Xenopus tropicalis: one gene and its partner. The main gene of each other region encodes a partner of the protein of the gene in region 2 in a complex. Links are inferred from orthologs where the notes say so. Each region holds a gene or a part of one and is shown on either strand. Other genes may lie near its edges.

Region 1 (4,134 bases), on a different chromosome or scaffold from region 2:
CTACAGCAGGGAAAAAAGCCTAAGGCTGTCTATAGAAAATAATTTTGCCCCATGAAAATGGAGTTTTAAACAGAAACCAGGTGGAGATTCCCTTTTAAGGAAATAAGTGACAGTAGCTGGTACAGTAAGTTCCCAGTAAAGGGATATTCTAAATGCCATAGTAAACTGAAATCAGTGTTATTTCTGTCTTTAGAGAGCAGCTGTTAAAGCAGATTGACTGGCAAACAAGTTCTGTATAGATACTATACGCCTTTCACATTCAACATGAATACAGAGCTATAATTTTCAGCTGACCATATACAGAATATAACACTTCAACAATACATTTGATCAGCCAGCGATGGTGGCTTTGTCTTCGGGTGGTCCCGATCCACTATAGAGCAGAAAGTAGACATTGCCTGCTTTGCAGCACTATTAGTTTGCCTTAGAAAGGAGAGCTGCACCCAAAGCTACGAGGATCAGTTTGTGTCAGGCTGTGGCACTGGTATTTTCCTTTTAGTGGCTTTCACTAGGCACTGGTGCAAAACTGGGTACAATCTCTGGCAGCCTTCCATGCAGAGTCTAACCGCTTCCTCCGAGCTCTCGCCTTCCCACTCTCCACTGCTAATAAGTCCAGAAACCTGTGGGTACAAGAAAACATGACTGTCATTAGGAGTTCATTCCTGTAGATTTGTAAGCAAAACTAAATATTAGCCCCCTTGCTGAAAATGTGCATATAGTACAGCAATAAGATATTACATGAAATTGTTTTCAGCAAAAAAACCTCCTTTGCATTATGTCCTATACCATTTGTTGGCTATTTAATGGAAAATAAAAATGATGTCATTGGGAATGTTATGCCCCCACTCATTACAATTACTAATCTTAAACCCCAGGCTGGAGTTCCTTTTCAACACATAACACACTATTTCTGCCAGCACTGTAATGTTCTTTAAGTCCCCAGTCTCACACAGTGGTCCATGGGAGCCTTTCATAACATGGCGGCAAAGCACTGGCAGAGCTATACTCTTTTCTGTGTCAACTTTCTTTTCCACCTTAAGTTACCCAATAACATTTCTCAAATAATGCCAAAACCTAGTAACACCCAGAGATTCCCAGCAGTTTGAATTTTTTCTCCCATTTTAATGCCTGGCAGGAAAATGTCTATTTGGCAGAATGTTTAGCTGCTTTGAGAAGCTGAACACTAAGTCCAAAGCCCAATATTAAAACAATGTATATTATAAGCAATCTAAAATCGTTACACTGGAAAGACCATCATCACCAGCGCAAATACGTGATTCCAAGAGCTGCTTCATATTAGCGTACATGGATCCAGATTTCTCTAATGCTCCCAAAGTCTATTTTTTTTAAGTCACTATGTAACAGTTTCATTCAATTTAGGCTGACAGGTTAGGCTACACTGTGCCATTAACCCACTGCTCTACAGGCTGCAAGGCGAACAGCAGTGGCTACGACTCTTCTATGCACTTTTTCAATGTACACTATTTTTAAATTCTCTTTAGTTTACATACCAGCAGTTTTACACTTTATATATAATGATATTGTTGAACAGCAGCCTATGAGCTGCAATGGAGCCTGACCAGAAAGGTACGGATAACAGCCCTCTCAGATCAATGGCATGGCACCCACCCAATGAGCAGCAAATCTTGATGGAGGTAATTGCTTAGTATAGCATTGCCCTAGGGCACTGGCACGTGGGAAGATTAGTCGCCTGTGATACATCTTTGCAATCGAGTGAGACTAATCTTCTCGAAATGCCTTGCCACCAGCAAGAATGTGAATCCCCAGTGGGTTGGCAAATTTGCTGCATCAGTTTTCCTAAGTTGCCAGAAGTTTTCTGGAGAGGCAAATGTGAAGGAGCTGCTGAAGAGAGAAGGCACAATGTAGACAGATGGTGGAATCTTAATAGATGTATCATGTAAACTAAAGAAAACAAAGAATAAGTATAAAGCGTGAATGGGGCTCTGAGCTAATATACTTTCAATTTGTTAGGGGTTAATAGCTGTACTAGTAGGATGAGGGAAAGCAAGGAGTGCAGAGCTGGTGTGTCCCACAGTAACCCCCACATGCCCAAGCACTAAGCCCCTATCTGCCCCTACACCAGAAGTGGCACACAGGCCGCTGACCTGATTAAGGGTTGGCAAGAGGCTCAGGCTCATGGTGCCCCCACTCCCAGCCTCCTCTTCATCATCATCCGGATCCAGCAGAAGCTCCCCACCGGGGCCGCGGCTTAGCCCACATCCGAGCGCCAGGTCAAACATCTCTATCCCAGCATCGGCCAAAGCCAGCGAGGCACAAGACACGGCCGCAGGCAGCGCAGAGCCGCGATCCTCCAGCACTAGGACCCACACTATCACCTCCGCTCGGGGGTAGCGATCCAATCGCACGGCCGGTTCCAGACTTTCCTGTAGTTGCAGCCCGGCCTGGCGGGGAGAGGGCCCAGCGGGGCAAGAGCCAGACCAGGGTCCGCGGCGGGAGAAGGGAGCCCAGCGCAGGTCACAGAGCAGGCGGCCCCGGGTCTCTGCTCTCTCCCCTCCCATCCCGCGCTCCCGCGGCCCATGAACTGCGCACAGCACTTTAGTGCCGCCACTCCCGGCCTCCAGGTACGCGGAGCCTTTAGCCTGGCTCAGGAGGCCGGCCCTGACAAACACCGGCCGGGGCTCTGACGGACCGCGGCCCCTTCTCCCTGCGGCTTTTCCTCCTTCTTCACTCAGTACATAGAGCAAAGGGGACTGCGACTCTTCGGGGCCACGAATACGGCGGCTGTCTCCCGGCATGGCTATGCACTGGGTGATACTATCCTACAACGTGTTTCCTCCCACCGTGAGCACGGACAGGCCTAATGCGCCGAAACACCGCCGCACAGTGGCCACTCGATGAATTTTATCCTCTGTGCCTGGAACGGGCCTTTACTAGCACAGGGGTGCCCAGACACTTTGTCACCCTGTGATCTACTATTGGGTATGAAACTGTTCAATGCACCCCTGACTTTCATATTTAGGGTGTTTTATCTGGTTACCTTATGACCTAGCAGTAGATATGATGCTATAGAATGGAAGATTTGAAGCAATTTTTCAAAAAATGTCACAAATTTTTAGAAAAAAATTATAAATTTAGGAAAGCATTGCAACTTAATAGTTTGGAGTAGACAGACAGTTTTACTTATTCTGGATTCGCCAGAATCTGTTCTTTCCAGAAATGCATAGGTTTCTAGGGTAAACCTTCTGTTAGTGGAATTTTTGGCCTTAATGTGTGCAGCTTTCTGGAGCAGTGCTTTGGAAATATGGTAGTGTACTGCTGGGAGTTTTTGACCTATACAAGTGAGAAATCTCCATAAAACTATATATATTTGGTATTGGCACGTTCAGGAGACATGGGACTTTCCAAATCAGTTGTATTTATGTGCATAAAATAATTTATGTTTCTGATATATGTGTTTCTATTACATACCCTGCTGCTGGCTGCAGCGGATCGCTCCGGCTCCGTCTCTTCTTGGGCTCCTGCTCCTTATTCGGCTCCTCGTACGGTGGCGACAGGTCCTTTTATAAGGTTGCGCCCGTGCGTACGTGTGACGTCACACGTATGCACGGGCGCAACCTTATAAAAGGTCCTGTCTCCGCTGTACGAGGAGCCGAATAAGGAGCAGGAGCCCAAGAAGTCTATGGGGGCCGCTATGTATGGGGGCATTTTCTTTTGGAGGTACTCACTATGGGGGCAATTGGGGGGCTCTGTGTATGGGGGGGGCATTGTATGGGGGGACACTGTGTAAGGAGGGCTACTGTGTATGGGGGGGCACTGTGTATGGGGGGGCACTGTGTATGGGGGGGCACTGTGTATGGGGGGCTCTGTGTATCGGGGGGCTCTGTGTATGGGGGGCACTGTGTATGGGGGGCTCTGTGTATGGGGGGGCTCTGTGTATGGGGGGGCACTGTGTATGGGGGGCTCTGTGTATGGGGTGGCTCTGTGTAAGGAGGGCTACTGTGTATGGGGGGACACTGTGTAAGGAGGGCTACTGTGTATGGGGGGACACTGTGTAAGGAGGGCTACTGTGTATGGGGGGCACTGTGTATGGGGGTGCTGTCTATTGGGCCATCGTGGGCACTATTTTAAATATTTTAAAAATGGGGTGTGGCC
Region 2 (4,130 bases):
CCAATCATCTTCATTCTTCAGTGGCCCCAAGTTGGGGCGTGCGCAGTAGAGAGGAAAAGCTGGCATTTTTCACACTGCTGTGCATGCATATCCACCGTGAAGAAGGAAGAACCAGCAAACTGTTCTCTGGGCCAGTGTAGTTTTTTGCTAACAGGAGCACAATCTGGGGTATGCAGTAAGTGATTACAATCTCGGAGAGGGTGCCTAACATTTTTTTTTTTTACTCACAAAAACAAACAAGCGGGTCCAGTTACCTTGTCTTTTTCTGTAGCACGAATGTCTTCTTTCCTAGAAGCCAAAAAGCAACTATTTATACATAAGGCAATAATGTTAGATGCCCAGCTCTGGCTCTTAATCATATAATTTCTAAAAACACTGTGTAACACCTTAAAATGTACTTTTAAGCAATTCATACACAGGCAAACAGATTCAATAGCTTTTTTTGGATTTTTAATTTATTCTTAAATTTTTTGTTCTGCTGCTCTGAGGGTTGGAATTTAAATTCTCACTGCCAGGGGTTAATTATCCTAAAAACCAATGCGCAATCTTTACATGAAAGATGAAGAACAGCGGGCCCTGAAAAGAAATATAACCACTATCCATAACTGTCAAGCCCTGCAGTAAATATTTTGTTTTGCTGCTGGGGTCAGTGTCCTCAAATCCCCAGCCCGCATTTTCAGCTGCATGTATAAAGGAATCCATCTCCTGGTTCTCGTGACTTTTACTAATCTTCTGCAATACACAAGCCCAATCTTGCTTTATGGCATAAAAATTAAATTGCAAAAGGGGTTATGCGATTTTTTTTGAGCAAATGTCAGAACACATCTTCAACACCCAGAAATGCCAGTACATGGGCTCCCTCTATACTGCAGAAGGTTTACTTTAAATAAGAAGGGTCTAGCCTCAGAGTAAATCCTTTACCTGATTGTGCCTCGAAATGTGTTACTCAGTGGAGTTGAACCAATATACATAATTTGGACCTTTGCAAACCTGGAGTTAATGCTTGTTACCTAATTATGAATGGAAATAAAGACTAAATTAGAAACTCCATAATAATAAATGAAGTTTATTATAAGAATGAAAAATTAAAAAGTAAATGAAAAAAAGTTCACATTTCAAATTGACAAATACTGTGTTATAAAACATAGTGGAGCTTAAAAAAATAAATACCAGTTACAGATTGCCTCAAAGTATTGGTTCATTTAAAGTGAATATTACAATCTATAAAAGCTGATGTACAGATGGCACTCTCTTAGTTTTCCCACAATCATTATCATCTCCTTCCAAAGTGCTCCTTTTAAGCTTGTAAGTACCTCGTATCTCACAATAACCCATCATTTGGCTGGGACATGTTAATGTCATTGAGCCCTTTACACAGCTCCTTACCAGTCCTCTTGTACCTAAGCCAGCTTTTATGCTGAAAGGTCACCAAAAAGAGGATTTTTGCCTGATCATAAAAACTATATACATGGGTGGGATCAATGTTGGCTTCTACTCCTACTAACTGCTTTGTATAGCTGAGAAACAAATGACTGCCCTAAACCCAGCCCCCCCCCCCCCCCCCCCAAAAAAAAAAAAAAAAGATACATTTTACCACCTGTTATAACACAACACCACTACAGAATTCTACTTTGGTGTGCAAAATACATTCTTACCTTACAAGTGACAACAGAGCCAACATCTGGCAGAAGATGTGAATCAGTCTCTCTTACCACAGAAATAACTGGCATCTAGAAACCAAAAAAGTGCAGGTAAGGAAATAAAAATTTTAAATAAAAACTATATTATACTGGGGACAGTCTGCACAGGAGCAGCAAATTATTGTACTTTCAGAAATAGTTTAAAGATGAGCTTCAACATTACTTCAGGGCTGCATGTATGGGTGGGATCAATAGTATTGTCTAGGTGGCAAGACCCAACTGCCTGCTGGCACATATTCAACAATGTAAGACTGAGCTGGCTGCAAACTCCCAGTGACTGCTTTGTATAGTTGGGAAACAAATGACTGCCCTAAAATCCTCCCGAAAACATAAATGTTACCACTCGTGTATCGTATCTCAGCTATGTATAATAACAACCTACTACAGAAAACTACTTACCAAGCCATTGTCAGTTTTCTTCACTATGTAACCTGCCAGGGAGGCAAAAATATAGCCATGTCTGCAGAAAGTTCCATATCCAGGGGCACAGTCTTCAGTGCTGCACAGCCTTTCACCTGCAGAGGTTAAAAGAAAGATAACACAATAATACAACTCTGCACAGGGTATATAAAAAACAACCAACTTTTAAAAGTAAAAATAATATATTACTTCAGAGATTAGAACTTGAACTCAGAATTCCCAGAATGAAGCCTGACAGGAGAGCTGAAATTATATATATATATAGATTGTAAGCTCTACGGGGCAGGGACCTCCATCCTCTTGTGTCTTTGACTCTTAACTTATTGCAACTGTAACTGTATCTTGTATTTATTTGTATTTATTGTTATACTTTGTATTCATCTATTATCTTATTAACCCCCTGTTTGTATTAATCTATTCTACTGTACAGCGCTGCGTACATAAGTAGCGCTTTATAAATAAAGATATACATACATTTACTACAACACGAGCAGGAGAAATGTTTCCACAATTTCTTTTTACGGCATCCCTACTGTTATTACATCTCAGTCACTAACCCACAGCACTCCTACCCAACCCAGTCCTTCCTTACCAGGCACCGACACTAACTAAACACTGTGCCCTGCTTCACTCACCCGGCACACAGCACCTTACAGGAGCCATGATAAACACGTGATAACCAATACTGGGCAATGAAGGCTCCGATTGGGTACATCCCGGTTAGTGACGTAACATATCCTGCCATTGGCTCTTCAGCCGTCGCAGCGTGATGACGTACCACGTAGCAATTGTACAATTTGAGGCTGGAGTTCTGGCAGCCTTTACTTTATCTTAAAAAAACAGTGTTATGTTAGTATTAGTCTGTGTTCTAGAAATCGATTTTCATTTCTAAAAAAATATGGTTTTACATATCACAACCTGGCCAGATATGTGTTCCTATAGCAACAGAATGTCATTTACACTGCTTTTCCTGTGACTGTAATAGTTATTAGAAAACGTTCTCTTCACTATGACGTTGCATGGAAACCATAGCGAGGCAGGCTCTCTCAGCGTGAGGCTTCTGTACAGTGGTGCTTCCATCGAAAATCGATAGGTATATATATTTTCCTTAATAACGCAGAAAGAATACCGGACGAGGGGGTTACGGAATAAGACGCTATTCTTGGGATGTACGTTTCTCCCTTTTTGACCTCGTAACCTATAGGGGATAATCAGAACTTACAAAATGGTGTAATTATTCTCAGGGACAGGAGGCACACAGACAGCAATAAGCTCTTGCCTCGTACACCTACTGTAAGAAGAAAATATTTGAATATTTGAGATATATATATATATATACATGTGTGTATATACACCTTGCTTTATAATTGAACTTTTATCTTCTGTCAGTAACTAGGCCAGTAACTAACAACACTGCCAAGATGAATAATTCCTAGCCCTAATATACTTATTTAAAATTGACACAATTCACTAGTTTCCAACACAGTTGTCACCTGGGCATACAGTAAAATGCTTTTTAATTGTGTACCATTCATAGGGTCTAATAAACTAGTGGCAAGGGGGTTGTGCAGTTACTGTGTGGCCAGCGCAGATACAGTGCTGTACTGCCCCTTATGCACTAAAGCAGGTGCCACTGGAAAATAAGCATACAGCATGGGCATAGGCAGGCACAAGTACACATTGCATATAGCATTTAACAGCATCTTTTGTTAGTGCCTAGAAATTGTAATTGAGACCTTTACATAGTAGATGTGGTTGAAAAAGGACACACCCTTCAAGTTCAACGTTTTCTCTAAGAGAAACACCACTAATATCTAGTTAATCTGGAGCAATACAGATATCAGAAGGCATCTCCCATAAGCCTTAAAGGGAGTGAAGTAATTACTCCAACAATCCCTGGATCAACTTTTTGCTAAGAATTAAAAAAGTTTATTAACATATACCAACTCTTCTGGAACTAAGGAAAATGCTTGACAGAAAAGGGTATAAGGATACTATTGTTTAATAAAC

The links. Proteins that work in one complex are often made in the same cells at the same time.
Region 1: exosc1 (region 2) and exosc6 share a complex: the UniProt entries of both Homo sapiens proteins name them as parts of the RNA exosome core complex. The link is inferred for Xenopus tropicalis from reciprocal best matches to the Homo sapiens genes EXOSC1 and EXOSC6.

The regions. Positions count from the first base shown.
Region 1 is NC_030680.2:74,926,509-74,930,642, reverse strand, and holds the start of exosc6 (exosome complex component MTR3), read right to left. Parts: upstream 2,801-4,134; 5' UTR 2,778-2,800; coding exon 2,127-2,777; intron 621-2,126; coding exon 459-620; 3' UTR 1-458. Other genes in the region: aars1 (alanine--tRNA ligase, cytoplasmic), read left to right, coding at 2,877-2,961. UniProt on the Homo sapiens protein: Non-catalytic component of the RNA exosome complex which has 3'->5' exoribonuclease activity and participates in a multitude of cellular RNA processing and degradation events.
Region 2 is NC_030683.2:32,985,207-32,989,336, reverse strand, and holds the start of exosc1 (exosome complex component CSL4), read right to left. Parts: upstream 2,801-4,130; 5' UTR 2,784-2,800; coding exon 2,756-2,783; intron 2,216-2,755; coding exon 2,100-2,215; intron 1,731-2,099; coding exon 1,656-1,730; intron 1,011-1,655; coding exon 922-1,010; intron 289-921; coding exon 255-288; intron 1-254. UniProt on the Homo sapiens protein: Non-catalytic component of the RNA exosome complex which has 3'->5' exoribonuclease activity and participates in a multitude of cellular RNA processing and degradation events.